Schizosaccharomyces pombe: one gene and its partners. The gene in region 3 interacts genetically with the main gene of each other region. Each region holds a gene or a part of one and is shown on either strand. Other genes may lie near its edges.

What was found. Genes that interact genetically often act in the same process or in processes that back each other up.
Region 1: mutations in yhb1 (region 3) and tim18 together harm fitness more than expected from each alone (negative genetic interaction), as found in Schizosaccharomyces pombe (one large-scale study listed by BioGRID).
Region 2: mutations in yhb1 (region 3) and rem1 together harm fitness more than expected from each alone (negative genetic interaction), as found in Schizosaccharomyces pombe (one large-scale study listed by BioGRID).

The regions. Positions count from the first base shown.
Region 1 is NC_003423.3:2,033,671-2,039,818, reverse strand, and holds tim18 (TIM22 inner membrane protein import complex and succinate dehydrogenase (SDH) anchor subunit Tim18), read right to left. Parts: upstream 3,760-6,148; 5' UTR 3,720-3,759; coding exon 3,240-3,719; downstream 1-3,239. Other genes in the region: Cu(2+) transporting ATPase Ccc2, read right to left, coding at 1-1,832; SPOM_SPBC29A3.21 (uncharacterized protein), read right to left, coding at 2,425-2,727; MPP complex beta subunit Qcr1, read left to right, coding at 4,976-6,148. UniProt on the Schizosaccharomyces pombe protein: Membrane-anchoring subunit of succinate dehydrogenase (SDH) that is involved in complex II of the mitochondrial electron transport chain and is responsible for transferring electrons from succinate to ubiquinone (coenzyme Q).
Region 2 is NC_003423.3:1,950,180-1,956,991, forward strand, and holds rem1 (meiosis specific cyclin Rem1), read right to left. Parts: upstream 4,534-6,812; coding exon 4,072-4,533; exon of another isoform or gene 3,987-4,071; coding exon 3,240-3,986; downstream 1-3,239. Other genes in the region: SPOM_SPBC16E9.20 (uncharacterized protein), read left to right, coding at 1,613-2,182; phosphatidylserine decarboxylase Psd1, read left to right, coding at 5,530-6,812. UniProt on the Schizosaccharomyces pombe protein: Required for pre-meiotic DNA synthesis and S phase progression. Regulates levels of meiotic intragenic recombination.
Region 3 is NC_003424.3:5,513,851-5,523,296, forward strand, and holds yhb1 (nitric oxide dioxygenase), read left to right. Parts: upstream 1-4,100; 5' UTR 4,101-4,108; coding exon 4,109-5,392; 3' UTR 5,393-6,100; downstream 6,101-9,446. Other genes in the region: SPOM_SPAC869.03C (urea transporter), read left to right, coding at 1-892; SPOM_SPAC869.01 (amidase), read right to left, coding at 7,507-9,258.

The DNA.
Region 1 (6,148 bases), on a different chromosome or scaffold from region 3:
CTAAGTACAACATCAACACCTTCACCTGGCACAGCATTGAATGATTCAATTCCAATTTCAGAAACATCGGTAAATTCTGAAGCTTTCTCAGTAATAGCTTTTCCAATTGGATGTTCACTTGAAGACTCTGAAGCTTTAACAAAAGCCCAAAAAATATTCTTAGGAATGTCAAGTAATTCCTCCAAATTATCTACAATGCTTATGTCGGTGACACTTAGCTTACCCACTGTAAGTGTGCCTGTCTTATCAAAGACAACAGTGTCAACCTGATTTAGACGCTCTAAAATTTCACCACCTTTGATGATGATACCGTTCAGAGCACCAACACCGGTTCCAACCATAACGGCTGTAGGGGTACTTAACCCCAGTGCGCATGGGCAGGCGACAACGACGACACTAATTGTCAATTTTAGGCAAACTGCAAACTTTCCCATTGGATCATCAAACACCGATGGGTATTTTGAAGAATATTTAGTGAATAAAAACCAAAATGTAAAAGTTGAAATTGAAAGAGCAACAATTACTGGAACAAAAATTCCAGCAACGCGATCGGCAAATTGTTGGATAGGAGCATGTGAGATTTGAGCCCTCTGAACAAGATCAACAATCACAGCTAACTGTGATTCTCTAGGTGATTTTGTTGCTTTTACAAGCAGTCGTCCATTCCCGTTAGCTGTTCCGCTCAAAAGTTCATCGTCAATTGTTTTATGCACTGGAACGGGTTCTCCAGAAACAGAACTTTCATCGACGTAGGAAGAGCCTTCAACAACCGTACCGTCTACAGGGATTATTTCGCCAGGCTTGACTAGAATGAGGTCTCCACGCTCGATGAGATCAGCTAAGATCTCAATTTGTTCATTGTCTTCTATTATCGTTGCACTGGAAGGAGCAAGGCTCAACAGTTGAGAAAGAGCAGCTGATGTAGAACCTTTAGCTTTACTTTCCAAATAACGACCTAACGTAACAAACGTCAATAGCATATCAGCGGTATCAAAAAATATAGGAGCAGGATTATCAGCATGTCTAGCGCTGTAGAGAATCATGAAAAAGATACTGGCAGCGAAGGCTACAGTGGAGCCCAAAGATACTAAAACATCCATATTGGCTGTTCCTCTTTTCAGTGCATGATATGCGGCAGAATAGTAGACCCTTCCAACACCAAACTGGACGGGAAGGGATAATACTAGGCTGATGATGTGGCCAGCACATATACCAAAATAATGGGGGACCAAAAAAGCAGCACGCATGGAATCACAAGAATCGAATATCTGGGGTAAAAACATCACCGCCAAAGAGAATGATATTGAAATAATAAATCGGATTTTCCATACTCTAATTTGACTCCCTCGTTGAAGTGACAGAATACGAGAGGTGGAGGAATCTACTGGTTGAAATGTACATTTGACACCCATAGATAATATTTCCTTCATGATGGAACGAGGGCCAGTAATCTCAGAATCATAAATGACACGTATAGCTGCATCCGGGGAGGAAGAGCAATTGACGGACAAAACGCCTTGCAGTTCATTGATATGATTATGTACTTTGGTCCATTGTTCCGCCTGCATAGGAGAAAGTAATAAATAATTAGCCATGACACCATGTTCACCCTCTGTTGAAGAAATCACAGACGCATCAAATCCACAATCTTCAATTTTCTCAGCGATCTGATCCGGTGAGATAATGCTAGGATCATGAACGGCAATAGCACGCTCAAGAAGCAACGATATAGTGAATTGTTCAATTCCTTCCACTCCTTCCAACATGGATTGGATAGAGGCCACACAACTGGTGCATGTCATACCCTGGACTGAAAGTGTAGTAGTATACATTTTAAGAAACTAAACAAAATTTTTAAAGGCAATCTAAATTATAAAAAGAAATAACGAAAAAGAAATAGTACAAGCCAATTAGAGATTAAATAAGGAAAATTAAGAGAAGCGAGTTACTGTATAGAAACGATAAATGTTGGAAATGTCGAAATAAATAGATAATAGTAAGGAACCCAAATCAAAGACAAGAGACGTAAAAAAAAAAAGAAACCCCCTCAAGTGAAGAAATAATCAAAATTTGACGATTAAAACCAATTACTTAATGTAAGTCAACAGCAAAAAGAGACAAGCCGATGATCAACAAAAGAAAATCAACATACAAAACTTTGGAAGGAAAAGAAAAATAACAAAAACGATACCAATGTTAAACAAAGCCAGCTAATAAAGTCTTTTTACACGCTTAGCAGTTAGCTGTTTTAGGTTGGGATACCACGAATTCAGAATTCGAATTCGCTTATTGTATCGTGATTTTCACCACAAAACGATTTAGAAAAAAATACAAAACAAAACGAATTCAACTTCAACAGACTACAGAAGAAGAGCAAATTATCAGCTGAACTTGTTAACAAAGTGTTAGTGAGTGTGTGGTAGATTACAAAAAGCACATGATGGCAGCGATATAAAACCGCAAAAACTCGCGCAAACTACGAAATATACAACTTGTAAAAATAATATTCAAATTGACATAATTATGTTTTAAATTCGAGGAGAATAAAAATCTTTGACAATAATCGATCGAAGCAGAGTACGACTTTTGGAACCGAGACGCATGCACAGTGCAAGCATATGATTCCACTCCCAATTGCTTAACAATGTGTAAAGACACTTCGGTAAAGCAAAATACAACAGTATGGCTAAGAACGTTATGTAAATATCGAAAATTGTAACGCAACATTCGATAAATGAGATTAAAACGGTAAACGTTAGAGCATGTCTTCTAATACCTTATCAAAGAATAAGGGAACGAAGCGTACATGGGTAAATTGTTGACCCATTCTAAACGATAAATAATAAATGGGACACCCAATAAAATAATTCAATGGATTTTGTCTTGGAAGAATTATTAATTCAAGTCGACATAAGGACCTTAACAAGAGCTGCCACAAACTTGAATAGTCTTCTAACCACTCCCACTAGAAAAATTATCGTTGAAGGTAAACATAAACATACTGTGCAAGCGCTAAACAGATTTACACAGATAAATTGAGAGGATCAATCAAGCCAGAAATCAAGAAAAGAGCAAAGATCAACTGCAGAATATCAATTGGCAGTTTTGGGGTTTGAACTGGTAAGTTTCAAGCCCAAAACTTACTAGATGACGGATTAAGGAGAATAAAAAAGAAAAAGGAAAGGAATAATCATTATGAAAAAATAAGTGGGGTTATATGGGTTTGCATGGAAAGAAGCTTAAGATTTCCAAAGCTTTTTAATACCCTCCGTAAGGCCAATATCATTCGTGTTGAACTCATAGACGCCAATAAGTGTAAGAACAGTACATCCACGTAAGATCCAGTGCATCAAAGGAGATAACTTCTTAAATCTTCTTGCAGGGAAGTAGTCAATCACACAAGATTCAAACCCCAAGTGGGCATGCGTAATCAAGGTGCAAGCCAATGCAGCGTCCATTAAGGGATGAGAAGTTCCGGTGAACAAAGGGATCATGACTTGAGGAACCATGGCAATAGCAATAATTCTTTCAAAGTCCCAATGATAGCTTCCGTGGAGCTTACTGTGGTGAGGGAAAACAGCAGCATCATTAACAGTTCCCTTAATGGTCTGAGGGGGAGGAGGGAAAATTTTCGCAACACTGGTTGTGCTAAAAGATTTAACTGCAAAAAGAAGACGTCCTTGACGAAGTGCTCCAAGTCCTAAACGTGTTTGTAACATATTGTTTGTAAACCAAGAAAAGCTGGTGGTGGTAGTAGGTGAGTTCGTATTGGCGGATCTTGTGTCCACATTATTGGCCATTCAACAGCTCGATGTGTTGAGCTTGGAGTGGCCGGAAATAGGCGATGAGAACCTAAATCTATCTACTCATAAACGAAAAATTGTATAACATAGAGTAAAGACTAGAAATTTAAATAGATATAATAGATTAATAAGTTTATTCAGAAGAATCTCCGGTCTTTAAGGTCGTTTCAAAACCTGGTTATTACTTTTTATAATAATATTATTCACTGCTGAAAACGAATTACCTTCTACATATAATATTACATGGGTTTTGTGGTGAGTTTGAATATCTATTATAATATTACACAGTACCAAAAGTTACTGCAGTTTCAAAAAAAATTTTACGGAAAGCACTACATTGTGAAAAAACAATAATCTACTGTAAATCTTTTTACTTAATAATATAATATAGATAAAGCTATAGAAATTTACTTGTAGCAATTATGCTAATATAAAGGTGCTGCATTGGCTTAAAAAAAGGTTAGAGAAACGGTTTTAAGAGGATGAAAATTTTATTTAAATTAATATCATTTATATAAAAAACTATTCTCATAAAAAGAAACCATCAAGCTACTCAATAGTCGATGTATAACAATGCTTGATTCGGTGCTAGTCAAAATTCTATAGTTGGACTGTTATTTTTTTAAAAATGTATTAACCGAAATATTGTAATGGAAATCATGGAAAAGAGAATTTCGTTAAGTATAAATAACCTTTTAATGTAGATGAATACGAACTTAACCTGATGAAGTGTCTTACCCTGTCTGATTCAATGTCATATAGATTCTTTTCAATATACCGATGAAACAATATATCCCCTACATAGTTTTTTACCAATGAGATTCTCCATGTTAAGTAGAGATATATTATATCATGAACTGGATTGTACGGTCATTCGTTTCCTTCCTTTATAGCAAATTGCGCACAGGGCAAAGACTAGGCAATCCGAAAGTTTCTGTTTGAATGGTCAACTTCTTATTTTTCTCTACATGGAAATTCTAGTAAGGGATTCAAGGATTGCTAGTTTTCTTTTTTTATTAAATGGGATCAATTGGTCATTTGCCGAAATTCGAACTTGGGACCTCGATAACACGTATTACGCTACACCTCTACGGAATACCTTCTTGCTACCTACTTACCCTTTACCATCCACAGAATCCCACCCAACCAAAGGAGCTTGAATTGATATTACTATGCTGAGGCTTCAGAATTTGCCAAAGCTAGTACGTCGTTTTGCGACTACTGCTTTACCAAAAACAGAAACCACTACTTTAAAAAATGGGCTTACAGTTGCTACGGAACATCATCCGTATGCCCAAACAGCGACCGTCCTTGTGGGCGTTGATGCTGGCTCAAGAGCTGAGACGGCAAAAAATAATGGCGCTGCTCACTTTTTGGAACATTTGGCGTTCAAAGGAACGAAAAATCGCTCCCAAAAAGCATTGGAATTGGAATTTGAAAATACTGGTGCACATTTGAACGCATACACCTCTCGTGAACAAACCGTTTATTATGCACATGCGTTCAAAAACGCTGTACCTAATGCAGTTGCCGTTTTGGCCGATATCCTGACAAATTCAAGCATTTCTGCCTCGGCGGTTGAGCGTGAACGCCAAGTCATCTTAAGAGAGCAAGAAGAGGTTGACAAAATGGCCGATGAAGTAGTCTTTGATCATTTACATGCTACCGCTTATCAGGGTCATCCTCTTGGACGTACAATTTTGGGTCCTAAGGAAAACATCGAATCTCTTACCCGTGAGGACCTTCTCCAGTATATTAAGGACAACTACCGTAGTGATAGAATGATTATCTCTTCTGCCGGTTCGATATCTCATGAGGAGCTTGTAAAGCTCGCCGAAAAATATTTTGGCCATTTGGAGCCTTCAGCTGAGCAATTGTCGCTTGGTGCTCCTCGTGGACTCAAACCTCGTTTCGTCGGGTCTGAAATCCGTGCTCGTGACGATGATTCACCAACTGCCAACATTGCCATTGCTGTTGAAGGTATGAGTTGGAAACACCCAGATTACTTTACTGCATTAGTCATGCAAGCCATCATTGGTAACTGGGACCGTGCTATGGGAGCATCTCCCCATTTGTCTTCTCGTCTTAGTACTATTGTTCAACAACATCAACTTGCCAATAGCTTCATGAGTTTCAGTACTAGTTATAGTGATACTGGACTTTGGGGTATTTATCTTGTCACTGAGAACCTTGGCCGTATTGATGATCTCGTCCACTTTACCCTCCAAAACTGGGCTCGTTTAACCGTTGCAACTCGTGCTGAGGTTGAACGTGCCAAGGCACAACTCCGTGCTTCGCTTTTACTTTCTTTGGATTCAACGACCGCCATTGCAGAGGACATTGGT
Region 2 (6,812 bases), on a different chromosome or scaffold from region 3:
CCTGTTTAGCAGATTGGGCGGTTTCCTTAGCGCCGATTTTCATGTTTTGCATTGATTCGTTAATAGTTCCAACCATGATGATGAAGAATAGAAGAATGTAAGAGAATCAAAAGTGTTGTTGATAAATAAGAAGGGGATTTTTAAACGTAAAAGCGTTAAAAACGTGATAAAGAGTTAAATAAATAAATAAATAACAAGTTCGTTAAAACAATTGAAACGTAGAGACAAGAGAGATCACTTGGGGGAAAGAGAAATCGAAAACTTGTCGAGAGTCGTAAAAAAGAAAAGAGTCGTTAAAAAACAAACGTAACAAACAAATAATTAATATTGATAATAAATCGGGTTATATATCAATATATATTATATATATATATATATAGATAGATAGAATGTGTGTAATTGATATATAATATAAATAATAAGAGAAATTAGATATAGAGAGTATCAATCACAGAGACCTTGAACACAAAAAAAAGGAGATGAAAATGTGTTTTTTTTAGGGGTACAAACAGTAAATCAAGGAAGGAAACGAGGAAGAATTGAATAAATACAAAAATTCACTCAGTCAGTCAGTAGAAGTACTAGTAACAATAGTAGTATGTTAAGACTAGTAAAAAAATAAAATAAAAAGACAAAGACAAAAAAAGGCGAGGGGGTGCAAACTTTTTGACTATGACTTTTATGTATAGGAGAGAATTATAACAAGACTATGTAGTAGAGGGTAGAAGAATAGTCGTGTTATGAGGGCTGAATGAAAAAAGAAAAATTAAAATAGTATAGTATAGTATAGTATAAGAGTATGAGAAATCGTTTAGTACAAATTGAGGTAGAAATGTACTATAGACAAGAGAGTAATCAAATCAAATCAAATGAATCGAGTAAATAAGAGTCGTTTGAATAAGATGGGATAAAAGCAAACAAGAAGCGAATCTTTTTTTTAATCTTTTTTCTTTCGTAATTGTTATATGTGAGAAGAGAAGGACGAGCGAACCCATCAATATATAGTAAATGAGTCAATGCCTTACATCACGCCCAACTCGAGCGATTCAATACTTTTTTTCCAATCTACGTCACGTTCTTCATTGCAGAATGGCATGGTGAGTGTGAGCGTAGCAATAGGCATGCCATTCCAATGCCCAAATACGTCGCCATCCACGAGCCAAATTGAAACAAACGTCACCGACCCTACCAGTAATTAAGTTGAAGGATGGAAAGGGAAAAGGATGAGGAAAGGATGACGCTGTGGAGTAGAGAGAGAGAAGAGAAGGGCAGTGAGAGTGAGAGTGAGAGAATGGAGAAAAGGTATGAATGAAGAAAAGAAGGAATGAATAAATGTTGGAATGTAAGAATGAATTGAAGTTTATAGTAAATAGAAAAGTGAAATGTTGAAACCATCTTTTCTTTTCTTTTTTGCCATCTTTTCTTTTTTTCTTCTTATTGTTTACATGATGAATTGTGATTGTTTGATAATATTGCGTTTGTTTTTCATCTCTCCTTTCTTTTCTACCTCTTTTGCTATTCGGTTGATTTCCTCTACGTCGGTCGCAACTCAGCCATCAGCCTGGCCCTTTGACATCGAATTGTCTGTATTTTCGGTGTGGTTTGTTTGTTCATGCTGGTTGTCGTGAGTTTGACTCCTCCAGTCGGTGTTTGTGTTGGACTTTTCCATCATTTGCTTTCTCTTGGTGGTGGAATTACGACGTGCATTACGTCGATGGAAACGGGAATTACGAAATGGAGCGGGTCGCTTCGATGCAACTCGCAAATGCAAAAAGAGAAAGGGGAGAGGAAAGGAAAGGAGGAAGAGAGAAAAAGAGGAAAAGAGGAAAAGATATGGTTTCATTCCAAGAAGATGAAAATTCATGATTATTGTATTGTATTGTATTGTATTTTATTTTATTTTTATTTTGTTCTTATTTTATTTTATTTTATTGCATTATATTTTATTCTACATCCATTCTACTCGACTATTCTCTTTTTCTTTCCTTTGTTTATCAAATGCTCTCATCTTCACACCCTTACATCCTTTTACTCTTTACTCTCTTCTCTCTTCTCTTCTCTCATTCCTAAGCACTCCTTGCATCTCGCTCCACTACGAAAACTAAACTTATCGCACTTTGTTTCTCCCCTCTGTGCTATGTTTCCCCACGTTGGCTTGCGCTTATTGCAAACGACGCAATGATGACGAGCCCTTGGAGACAGGGAAACCGGGGAAATGCTACGTCGATGATGTTTGCAAATCAATGTGTTTGCCAATGTTCAGCAACAACAATTCCGTCTGCATACTCTCTGAAACATTTCAAATGTATTTAACTCAACAAATGTTACAACCCAAACTTTTTCTATTTACGCCCAAATACGTTGATAAGCATCTTTCAAAAGAACTGCTCGTTTCATCAAATGACTGCTCCAAGGATTCCTATATTCATGAGCTGATATGGCTATTCATAGTATCATAGAGCATATTATCAGATAAGACAAATTAGGTTACAGATTTTTGGTAGCATAGACATCTAGATACACACAACAACAAGATATAGATAGGACCACTAGGTAAAAATTATTATTAATAAAATATATACCCTTACTAAAAAAAAAAAACAAATAAATAAAAATAAAATAAATTTAAAATAATAATAACAATAATAATATTTCTTTTTTTTATTTTCTTTATTTCTTTTTTTTTTTAATTTAATTTTGCTTTTTATTCTTTTTTTCTTGTTCAATTTAGGTACTTTTCTTTCCTTGTCTTGTTCATCTTTTATTTTCTTTTACTGTATTCTAAGGCACTCCTTTAATAAAAGGTACTTGGTAGCGATTCCTCTTCTCCTTCTCACAAACCTTTATTAGCGACATCTACCGCACTACCAACCTCTCGACATCAACTTGACCCTTCGCTTCTCTATTCCGTCCCACCCTCCCTCGCTTTTTACAAACCTTCTTACTTAGCGATACACCTTAATTCGAGCTTCTTTCACAAAAGTCCATATCAAGTCGTTCGTCTCCCTTTTCACTTCTATAACCCCAGTCTTTACTCTCTCGTGTAATTTTTTTTCTCCTACTCTTACTCTTCTACTTTTACTACTACTCTTCTTTTTTCTCTATTTTCCTACACTTCCCTCTCTCTCTCTCTCTCTCTCTCTCTCTCTCATCCTCTTCATATCTATCTTTCATTAAATTTCCTACATCTTACTTCTTCTTCTCTCTCTTTTCCCTCCTTTTTCTCTTCCCCCCCCCCCTCAACTACCATCCATCGCCATCAAGTTCGTATTTGTCGCAATCCAGTCATGCACTTGTCGACTAATCCCATGGAAATACGGTGTTGCATACTTTGAATAGATCGCATAGTGGTGATCAAACGGATTTTCTAGACATTTCAACAGTAGATGCACATACGAAACTAAACTCATATAATCATATCCCGTAATTTGAGGCAACGTATTGCTCCAGTTTTCCTCTTGCAATATAGATTGGCCGGTGTAGGCGCATGTCGCTACCAATTGACTCGCCCTTAGACTTGAAAATCTTTGTTCCACTAGCGATACTTCAAGAAAATATTTTATCATTATTCGCAGCTGCGACTCCCATTTGTTGACAATCGTCAATAGCCTCAAAAACGATACTGGCCCCGGCCACCCAAGTTGATATTGAAGAACCATAAGCATATACTTTTCCATTCCGCAAATATCTTCTCCTATCCATTCTCCCTCCAACACTATTTCCAAATCTTTCACTGTAGGAGGATGGATCTCTTCATACTTGCAAGCAATAAACAGCGCCGTTGCGCCGCAAAGTTTCATTTTCGATGCTGGCACATTTTGTAGAGATAGAAATCTATCCAATACATTGATCGATAGGAATAAGGATTCTGGAAGCAGGTTTATACATGTATGCACCCCCACAATCCAATTGATCACACTAGCCCTCATCTCTGTAACATAATATGGTTGAGCCGACATATGTCGGTAATCAGGCATAAATCGAATCTAAAAAATGTTAATAAATAAAAACTTCTTCAACTCCTTCATCTTCTTGTTTTCCTTCCCCCTTTTCTTCCCATTTTTTTCATACCTCCAATTTCTCCATGTGCGATAGGATTTCTTTTGCGTATTCCACAGACACCGATTCATCTGCTGAATATCTCATCTGTAATTCCTCCTCTTCATCCTCCTCTGCACAATTGTCATTTGATTCTTCAATCGCTATGCCAAATTCCGAAACACTGCAATTAGGACTTTGAACGTTACTGATCGAGCAAACATCCAAATCTACCAAAAGCTGTTTCTCCGTAAAGACTATCTCTTCCTCTAAAGGTGACGCTAAAAAACTATCATAGTCCTTTTGTATTTGCGACTCTTCAATTGAACTAATTCCATGCCAGCTCTGTGACGGAAAATGTTTATCTGATGGGCTACACCCATTTTGAAGGGATATTTCTCGTACCTGTGCGTTCACCCAGCCTTTTACGTTCAATGATTTGGAAACATAATTGCTTATTTCTTGAAGCGCAACTCTTTTGTTGTTAGAGTTCATGTTTGAATTGGTTCTCGTTGCTGAAACGGTCGCTTTAATTGTTTCAACCAAGCTCTTAGGTAGGCAAGTATCAGTCAATACAATTGCTTTTACTCTTTAATGATTGGGAATCAAATCAAACCGTTTTCTTGAACTTTTTGTTGTAAAATGGCAGTATGCTATTAGCAGGTTCTGTTTGTTTACAGTGAGTCAACAAAAAGTTGATGGTGAAAATGTTTGTTTATTTCCCATATACATATACCAACGGTCGTAACCTTAAAGTAAAACACAACCCAAAACTAAACTTTACCTCTACTATATCAGAATTCATGCTGCTTAAAAATTCCAAACAATGCCCGAATTCATGAAATAGGTTTTTGTGTTGATCGAAACGTTATCAAAGTAAAGCAAGGATTTTGATCAAAAACTCTTTTATTATTTGTATTGATGAGTTTTTACAGTCGCTCATCGGTTGTAAACATTCCATTATTTTACCGTTTTCGAATCATTGAAAACTGAACATAAGAAATCTTGCTACAATTAAGCTTTTTTTCTATTAGGTAACCATCAAACAAGCTTAAAAAAAATAATTAATTTACGCCTTCTCGTAAGTTATTATAATCAAACAAATTGAAATGTAATTGAAAAGAATCTCCTATTCTAAGATTTTTCTACAAACTTGCTTCGAAAGTTTCTTCTGCACTTATACAATGCTATAAGGAATATTCCTTTCTTCTAATTTTGATCGATTTTCGCAAAGTAGGATTGCCTGATACAATGTCAAGGATCTGATTTAATTTCCTTAAAAAAAAAAAAAAGAAAGAAAATGAAAACTCAACAACTTTAAATCATATTACAGTTCCCATATTTACTTGATATCCCAAGTTTACTACGACTTAACTTCTACCACTATCCTTTGAGAAGCACATGGATTCGAAGAAATAGCATATGGAAGTTTAAAAGTTAACGGGTCTCCGAAATCCATTCAAAAGTTTAATTCCATAAAAACAATCTAACATGCTAAAATTTCATCGTAATGTGAAGCCTCAATTTGGTGCATTTGCAAGGTATAGTAGTTTGGGAAAACACAACTCTCGTAAACGGGTTGGAATCATCCGCTTAGCATATGGGTTGACAGGAATCGGCTTGGTTGGATTAGCTGGCTTCGCTTGGGCTCAAGATCGTCACGAGAAAACGTATCAGAAGAAAGGCGTTCAGGTGGAGGGACCATGGCAATTTTATGTCCTTACCACTTTACCATTACGAACTCTCTCGCGTTGGTGGGGATATGTTAATCGTATTGAGATTCCTCTATGGATGAGAGTGCCAGCGTTTGGCCTTTATTCTAAAATATTTGGTTGCAACTTGACAGAAGCTGACCCCGATGATGTCCGCCAATACAAAAATCTGGCCGAGTTTTTCACCAGAAAGTTGAAACCTGGAGCGCGCGTAATTGATCCCGATGCCCCAATTGTTATTCCTGCGGATGGGAAAATCTTGAATTATGGTGTTATTGAAGGAGGTCAGCTTGAACAAGTAAAAGGTATAACCTATTCCCTTGATGCACTATTGGGCGATGAGAAGTTAGCTCGTTTGAAGCGCAGCCATGCTATTCCCTCTCCCGATCATATCCCTCACATTCGTCAAGAGGAGTTTGCCAAGTTAAATGGTATACATTACAGTTTACAAGATTTAATGGGTCATGATCATGGTGAACGACCAAGCCATGTCAAAGATGCTAGCGCACAACATATTGATTTGTTAAGCTCAACAAAAGTGGCAGCCAAATCACAGTTTACGTTGTTCGGATCAAGAGAAACGAATTGTTTATACTACGCAGTTATTTACTTGGCACCAGGTGATTACCATCGATTTCATTCGCCGACTGATTGGGTCGTAGAACGAAGAAGGCATTTTTCCGGAGAGCTGTTTAGCGTTTCTCCTTTTATGGCTCGTCGACTCGGAAATCTTTTCATCTTGAACGAAAGAGTAGCTTTGATGGGGAGATACAAATACGGGTTTATGAGTATGATACCCGTCGGTGCTACAAATGTTGGCAGTATCCGAATTAAATTTGATAAAGATTTATGTACGAATCAGTTTGGAAAACTAGGCCCAGTAGGTACTTTTGATGAGGCTGTATACACCTCATCTTCTTCTATTTTGCATGGTCACCCATTACTTCGTGGAGATGAGGTCGGAAATTTTGAGCTTGGTAGTACAGTGGTATTGGTGTTTGAAGCACCTGCGGATTTTGAATTTTTGGTCAAACAAGGGCAGAAAGTTCGTGTGGGATTACC
Region 3 (9,446 bases):
TTCCGCTGAACTTGTTGCCTTTTCATCGGTTATGACATACGACGTTTACCGCAATTATTTTAGACCGAATGCAAGTGGTAAAGAGTTAGTTCGTGTTACACATGTTTTTGTTACTATATTTGCTGTATGTATGGGTGCCCTTGCTGTTCTTTTCAATTATATCGGTATAACAATTTCATGGATTATTACATTCATTGGTATTGCCCTCGGACCAGCTGTGTTCGGAATTACATTGACTTTATTCTGGAAAAAAATGAATAAATATGGAATGATTATTGGATGTCCCATGGGATCTATCACAGGTGTTGTTTGCTGGGTAGGATCGTGTTACAAGTTTTCTAATGGTGTTGTAAATAAGACAACCTTAAATACTCCTTATGCAAATGCGGTAGGTAATTTCACCGGTCTTTTCTCTGGATTGATTTATATTGTTCTCATATCCTACTTTTTCCCTAACAAATCAGATGATCTAAATAATCTGAATGAAAAGTTTGTGTTAGGTGATGACGCTACTGCTGAAGAAATTGTTGATGCAGAAACTGAGAAAAAGCAACTTGATAGGTCCTTGAGGATTGGAATCTTTGTCAGTTGGATAATATTTTTTATTTTGGTGATTATAGTTCCACTTCCAATGTATGGATCAAAGTATATTTTCTCTAAGCTTTTTTTTAGAGGATGGATTATTGTTATTATAATTTGGACCTTAATAGCCGCTTTGTATATTACTTTTTATCCTTTATATGAAAGCAGAGATACTATTGTATATCTTTGTAAACTAGCGATAGGAAAAGCAAAGGCCCCCGAACCCATGAATTATGTGGATGCAGTAGAAGTTGAAATTGAAAGCCTCTCTGATGATGATAAAGAGAAGAAAGCAAATGATTTTCTTTAAATCTTAACTTAAATGACAAGCTTTGCAGTCTTAAGAATTTTTGATTTAAAATTCTTAATTTATTGAGAGCATCCAATTGTGAATTTGCTTTATTACCAGAAATAATCTTAACCTCCTGGTTTCCTATGTAGCTTTTATTGCTATGAATTTTAATCTTTAATAAATCAATTGATTGCAAATAATAGCGTAATTTGAGCTTTGTCATTTTTTGGCTATGCTTTATTGCGCAAATTTAGTCCTCATTTATTCATTATACTTACTTTTGGATACAACAATAGTCCGTTTAGGTACTATTCCACTAAACGAAGATAGTAAAATAAGCGATTTCTACAGAGGTTATCATTTATCTGACTTAATGTGTAATCAAAGTGATTAATGATTTTTTAAGAGACTCTTTTGTAAATAAAAAATAAAATACATTTCAGTTGTTTGGATGTATATTTTGTAGTTGATAAGGGATTACTGAGGTTGAAAGCCCTTGAGAAACGAGGCAATACAGTGATGATTACGACGCTGTTTGTTTGTCGGGATAAAGAGATAAAGAAAAAGAAGCAGTCAAGTAGGCAATATTGACGTTAAGTGATTTTTTGTGAAAATGTCAATTATTTATAATTTTCCTGAAGAAGGTAATGAAAGATTGGGAAAATAAATAGATGCAAGTAAATTTTGTAAGATAAGTATACCCTTTATCTCTTTTGCAAATGTGTTTTGTTCGATTTTGCAATAAAAAACTAAAGTTTGTACTTTTAGTAATTGAAGGCATTTTTGCATATTTGTGCTTTTAATGCATCAGCTGTTCCCATAAACTATGTGTAAGCTTAAAGGAGAACGTTTGTTAACAAAATTAGACATTTTTGAAATATTTACACATCGTTTCTACTTATTAAATATTAATTTTTTTTCATCTTTTAAAAGTCGGCAACATTTTGAATTTATGATTATATTTGTATCAATGATATATTTGCAATTTAGTTAAAATAATCAGCTCGTAAAGAATGCTATGGCATATCAATTAAGAAGAGCTTTAGGTTACTAAAAGTTTATGATTACGGAATAGAAGATTGAAATAACTACAAAATTTTGATATCGCTAATGGGTTCGTAGTTGTGTAGTGTTTACTCAAAATCTAGTATGTAGACCCATCTGTGCAGTCGATTTTTGATGATATAGAGGTACTATTTCACAAATGGCCATAAGCAATTGAGTAAAAATAAAACTTTTTGCTCAGAATCGAGCCAAAAACTACTTAATTAAACGTAATATAAGCAAATTACCTTGAAGGTTGATACAACAAGACAAATAATTCAAAAAAGGGAATAAAGCTATGAAGATTGCGTACTAAGCTGAGAAGTACGTTTTATTGAAGGTTAAATGCAAGTTGAGAAGTGACGCTTGAATATCCAAAAGCTAAGGAAGTAGCGGTTGTCAAAGGTCAGACAGTTAGTACAATCAAAATTCGGCAAAAAAGATTCAATTTAGAAAACGAAAAGTAAAGAGGATTTGGTACGGAAAAAATTACTATGATCTTTAATATTTGCATTTGAACTTACACAACAAAGTTAAGGAATAATTGTAAACCCTTGCAATAAAATGGAATTGAAACAAATGCCTTGGAGGAGAATGTTTGCAAAAAAAAACTTTTATAATTTGTGATGTACAGATATTTTTAATAACTCTCGTTTAAGTAACAAAAAATGTTGAAGCTGAATTCGTTTTCTCAAACAAGTTATTCAACCTTACATTGACTAGGTTCTTCAACAAAAACCTATTATATTTATCAAAATTGTACTAATAGTTTTAAGTAAGCGATGATCCACTTTAACCACAGTCCTACTTTTGCAAATTATGCAAAAATGACTTTAGTTTTTGAATTGCTTGTAGTCCAAGATGTTTGGAATATCCAAATGAATTCATTTAAATCTTATCTCGTTAATATACGGCTATTTAATAGTGTGATATAACAGCAACATTGCATAAGACATGAGCTTTTTTGATTATTCTCTTTTCTCACTTTGACGATAAGAACCACGTCCTTACCAGCATTACTTTGATCTGTGCATAAGTAAGAGGGAAAAGTTCCTGAATTATTGTATTAATTTAACATCCCTACAATTTAATACTCAGATTAACTTTGTTTTCTTCAACGTAGAAGTAAAAACCATAACAAGTATCTGTGTTGAAAGATGAAGGGTAGGTTCATTAAAATTACGATACCAATGCATCACTATGTTAAATACATTCGTTAACTAAAGTGTAGTTATAGTTCTTCCTACGGTTTTCGTTACATTAGTAAATAGCTGTAACCAGGAACTAATAAGTAACGGTTACTACTCTCATTTATTATGCTGCAAAATTACGCAAATTATTTAAGACTGATTGTTACAAAAGATTTTGAGGTGTTCCTTCGGGAAAAAAACAGCAATCATTAAACAGATAATTGTTTTGGCAAATTTATTTCAAAACTGTAAACAAACGTTCCGTCGAAGTTCAATCAGTTGTCATTAGAATCATTAGAACCTGTTAAGTTCCTAGGACCCAAATTTTGCACATTACTTTTTAACATTCTAAAAACAAAACGCGGGAGAGTTTAAATGGGAGCTCAAACAGTTTAGTTTAAATGTTTTGACGAATCTTTTTAGAAATGTTGTTGCGCTTCATTATAAGATCCAAAACAGTCTATAACGGCGGACAAAAGAATTACTCAAATCATGTTAGTTAGTATATCATGCTTTATAAAGAAATGTGCTTCATTGTAATCATATTTAACAAGAGGTTGAGGCCTTTGGTTTCGTGTTCTCACTATCAACGAGGCTGAGACTTCTACCGAACGATCTAGAAGTAAGTCAATGTTTAATCAAAAGTCGCAGCCGACGGTGATGACAAACCCGAAGTGGAAATGCTCCAATATACCATTGGCAGTGAAACGTCGTACGACTGAATGCCAGCAAAAGATTTTGTAGCATACAGCTTCCCTACCTGAATGGCTTCTGAGTGGCTAACACGCAACTTGATCCGGATTAGTTAACGAGCTGTCTCCCGAGACTCCTAAAAGAAACCCAAAGCTGCAGAACGGTCATAAATGAGTTAACTTTTCAATATTGGTTACTTCTTGATTATTAATATTGTAAGTTAAAAGAATTCAAAGCCTTACTATTTTCTTGATTGATTTAATATATATATGGCATAACCGTTTGGAATTAGAGATTCCAAAGTAAAATGTCCAGTGTTGAGGTTAATCGTGAAAACGCTGATGTTGCTAATACAAATCGACAGGCAAATCTAGCAGAAGGCTATGAAATAAAAGAACTTAATGAATCGCAAAAGCAGTATATACGTTCTTCAATCCCAATCCTTGAATCATCTGGGGTAAACTTGACAAAAGCATTCTACCAAAAAATGCTAGGTAACTACCCGGAAGTGCTCCCGTACTTTAATAAAGCGCATCAAATTTCTTTATCTCAACCAAGGATTTTAGCGTTTGCTTTGTTGAATTATGCTAAAAACATTGATGATCTCACTTCGCTCTCGGCTTTTATGGATCAAATTGTGGTCAAACATGTTGGTTTACAGATCAAAGCAGAACATTATCCCATAGTGGGACATTGTCTGTTGAGCACCATGCAAGAACTACTACCTAGTGATGTTGCTACCCCGGCATTTTTAGAGGCATGGACTACTGCATATGGTAACTTGGCAAAAATTTTGATTGACTCTGAAAAAAAAGTTTATCAGAGTCAGCCATGGAACGGGTTCGTGGAATTCAAAGTTACAGAACTTATTAATGAATCTTCCGACGTAAAATCAGTTTACTTGGGTCCGAAAGATCCAGCTTTCAGAATTTCTCATGCCCACCCAGGGCAATATGTCAGTGTGCTCTGGGAAATACCTGGTTTATCACATAAAACATTAAGAGAGTATTCATTGTCTAATCGTGTTGATACTTGTAGAAATCAGTTTCGCATTTCTGTACGCCGAGTCGCTGGGGGAGTAGTTTCCAACTTTGTACACGATAACTTGAAAGTTGGTGATATCGTTGGTGTCAGTCCTCCGGCCGGTAATTTTGTTTACAAACGTTCAGAGGAAAATGTAAATCGCCCGCTTCTTTGCTTTGCTGGTGGTATTGGTATAACACCGCTTATTCCAATCATTGAGACAGCTTTATTAGATGGAAGAAAGGTAAACTTTTGTTATTCTAGCAGAAATTATGTTAGCCGTCCTTTCAAACAGTGGCTTGAGCAACTCAAACTTAAATATAAAGAGAACTTGAAATTGAAAGAGTTCTTTTCGGAGGAGTCCTCAGTTACTAAAGAGCAGATTGTGGATGAGGTAATGACTCGTATTATAAATGAAGAAGACCTAGAAAAGCTAGACTTAAGTGAATGCGACATATACATGCTTGGACCAAATAACTATATGCGTTTTGTTAAGCAAGAACTAGTCAAACTAGGAGTTGAACCAAATAAAGTACAGAGTGAATTTTTTGGACCGTATATTCCTTAAGTCGCAAATGCAGCAAAATCTTTCTGGATACTTTGCAATAACTGGTTGAATAACATTAAAGTGAAGTAGTGAATTGATGAATTTATAAAGGTTTAGAATTCTGCTGAACATTGTAAAATGTTCAGATACAGATTTTTTTAGTACTTTTTTCAAGTATATTCCGAAATAGAATGGTTTCTCAAATAATTACTTATTTATCGTTTATTATGAAGCTGATTTATTTTTATTGCTATTTGTGACTATGGATAATGAATATTACAAACTTTAAATCGGTTTACCTTTTTAAAAAAATGAACTTTACTTGATTTGAAAGCACGCTATTTTCGCATAATAATATTTTAAATCTGAAAGCAAAACTCACATTCTTGTTGTACAACAACTCCATTTTGATTTCGATTAGCACTAGCTGCAATGAGAATATAGTTAAATGTTTAAAGATAACATCAATTTAAATAAAAGTATGTGGAAATTGAATTCGTTAATAATGTGAATCTCTTGGCTGCACTTTTAAAGGCATACGGGTTATATCCGACAGCTTTTATTACAATCAGAATTCATTGTACTAGACGGATTTAATTGCTGTTGTGCACTATAGTTTCTAGACGTCCCGTATTGGTGAATTTGGTTTAGTAGACATGGTAAACAAGAACCAAGGATTCGAATGTTGAAGTATTAAAAGTTTTAAAAGGTGAATTCGATCTATTCGAGAGAAAAAAGGATTGCACGTGCGAAGGCGCTATACAATTTTCAAAATCGAGTTTGCATGCCGCAAATCTAAAATATTATCTCCTTTTGTTGCGAATACACCTGATAACGGAAGCGAGATTTTTGTTTTCGCATAGTAGGCCGTATATAGCAATAAATTAGATAAAAATATTAATCGCTTTTTCAGCCGTCGATTTCATTAATCAGCCACTAATATCTTTTGAATTATTAAACATGTCGTTCACTGCATCGATCATGTAGTAGAATCAAAGACTTTACCCTAACATTTTTATTTCATCCGCACAAATTTATCATGATGTAAAATCAATAAATTCTTGCTTTAAGTTAACGTATTCTCTAATATACTAGCAATGATATCGGTTTACGTTTTTAACCCAGATTTTAAACAACTGAATTGCTATTTTGGGCCTATAGTTCGAAATCGAAGGGAAACAAACATGCCTTCTTAAATAATTTATGATAAAGAGTTATATATACTAATACCCTCATTTTGAAGTATTACATGTAACTTACAATTTGTATATACGTTTGCAGATTTGATAAACCAGAATTTGAAATTATTTCCTTACGTTTTAAACATAAAAAAATTTTTAAGTAGAGTTCATACGTCTGATAAGCATGATTCTATATATTAAATCATTATGCACAACCTTGGGACAAAATTGGGGTAAATTGGCTAATTAATCCTAGAACTGTGTAACTACATGAAAAAGAATTGAATTAACAACACTATATTTTGCAAAAAAACTGAGTGACATATTATTAACAAATTAAAACAGTAATTAAGAACCATATTATTGAGTTTCGTTTCAAACCTCGGCTTTCTAAAATAAGGTTGTTAATAGATAATAATTGGATAACTGATTCAAATTGTAGGAATTTCAACTATTTCTGAATTTTGTTTATAAAGCTTATGATCCTATTCTTAGTAGATGTTTTTATTAATTATTGAATAAACATCTGTTAGAAACTATGGTTGTTATTTCATGGATCTAATGTAATCTTTTAAATTCTCATGTAGTAAAGTAACTATGTTTTGATGTTGAGTATTTGTCTCCAGGTACGTTTTCAGCTTTTCTTTTTTTTTAACAAGTATCATTGATTGCTCAATCTACAAATAAATAATTACATATTATATTAAAGATTGTTTTGAAAGGCCCAACAAAATATTAATGAATTTTGTAACTTTTTTATTATTTATAGCTAAACCCAAAGTAAGTAAGAACTGTTTATCGTCCATATATATATCTCATTTTGCTTAGTTAATAGCACAATTAATATGTAAAAATCATAAGATACGAAACGAGTGTAAATTAATTCGCCTGTTTAAATACTTTAACCAGAGTAAAAGAAAAAAGAAATCATATAATCTCATGAGATGTGGTTGCCTACCAAACAGGAACGTTTTTGGCAACATATTCATAAAACTTGGGTTTTGCTTTGTATTGCAGAAGATCCTCAATAGCCGATCCATATTTAATTAGTTGAGGTTCTTGCCAGGCTGAATGCATAATTCCTAATCCAAATGGTCTGCCATTTGTTTTTACACCTATAGGAAGAGTAATCATAGGATATCCTGCTTTTGCTGCTTGCTGGTAAGTAATTGATGTACCACTTGGAACTAACAAGCCATTCAATATAAAACTATCATTCGTTTTAGGATCCGTATAGTTTAATGCGTAATCAATTCCCTCATCTTGAGATGTACGACGCACGTATTCAACAGCTTGCCAGTAGGTTTCATTTTTAACTCCACCCCATTCCAAAGATGCCAAAAATCCATCTTGACCAGATGAAAAAGCGGGTACAATATTTGGTTTTCCTCCTTCTGTTCCCATATATTTATTGTTATATTCAACAATATCCTCTAAAGAATGTATCTCTGTATTTTTTACTTCTGATAAATAACTTTTTATATTGTTGTAGAAATCCACTTTGACAACCGTATATTCTGATTCATTGACGGAACCCAATTCCCAATTCCATCCATCATTAGAAATTACATCCAGGTTATAAAAATTTGTATTGTTGTAAACAATAGCCCCGGCTTCTTCGATTTGTTTAACTACCTCTAATAAACGATCAATTTCGTCAGCCTTAGCATTTTGCCAAAGCCTTTTCCATGGAAGTCCAAATCTCGCGCCTTCTAAAGATGTTTTGTTGGATAAAAATTTCATGTAATCACCATCTTCAGGAGTCTTTCCTGTCTGGTTCAAAGTGTAAATATCATTTTCATCAATACCCCACATAGACTGGAAAACATAAACAGCGTCTCGAACTGTTCTGGCAATTGGGCCTGTTGTGTCTTGGTGTTCAGACTCTGGAATAACGCCATATCGAGAGGTCAGTCCTACTGTGGGCTTCAAACCTACAACCCCATTTCGCATGGCTGGGTCAATTATACTTCCATCAGTTTCAGTCCCCAATGCAAATGCAATCATGTTTGAGGCAACTGATATTGCGGACCCAGATGATGAGCCGCCCGGATTCACTGTTAGATTAAATGGGCACCTTGATTGCCCACCACGTGCAGAATAGCCCTCACTGTAGTCATTAGACCTCATATCTGCCCATTCTGAAAGCGTCGCATGTCCAAATAGTACTGCCCCTGCCTCTCTCAATTGCTTGACTACGTACGCGTCTCTAGGAACGATTGAGCCCAACAAAGCATAAGAACCAGCTGTGGTGTCCATCTTGTCTTTTGTTGCAAAATTATCTTTCACTATAAATGGGATACCATGTAGTGGTCCTCTAATTATCCCATTAGCTCGTTCATCATCTAGTTCCGAAGCAATTGTCAATACGTCAGGGTTAAGTTGTAGAATTCCATTAACGTAGGGATTTACTTGTAGATACCTATCTAAGTAACAGTGAACAATATCAGTAGAAGTAAGAATTCCATTTTCCATGTAGTTCTGCAGCTGATCAATAGTAGCATCCTCTAGCGTTATATTTTGACATTTGGGCATCGGAAAAATATTGGTTGAATTTGTATCAGGATATACGTATGTGGTGAAATTGACTTCTTGAGAAGCAACTAATGTACTATTTGTAGTTGTTTTACTTGACTGAAGTAATGGGATAGCAAGACCGTGTTTTGCTAACTGAGCTAGTGTAAGAAACAAAAGTTGAAGCTTCATCCTGTACAGAAAAAATCAGTTCCTTAAAGGGGAAGCAAAAAAAAAAGATATCTACTTTAAGGGTTAGTTCATTACTTATATATACATTCTTTCTTATCTAATACCGTATGCATCACGTCCCTCAGTACTCTTATTACAAGATTGTATCTAAAAATTTTAATCTAATCAATTTTTTGTGAGCTTTGCTA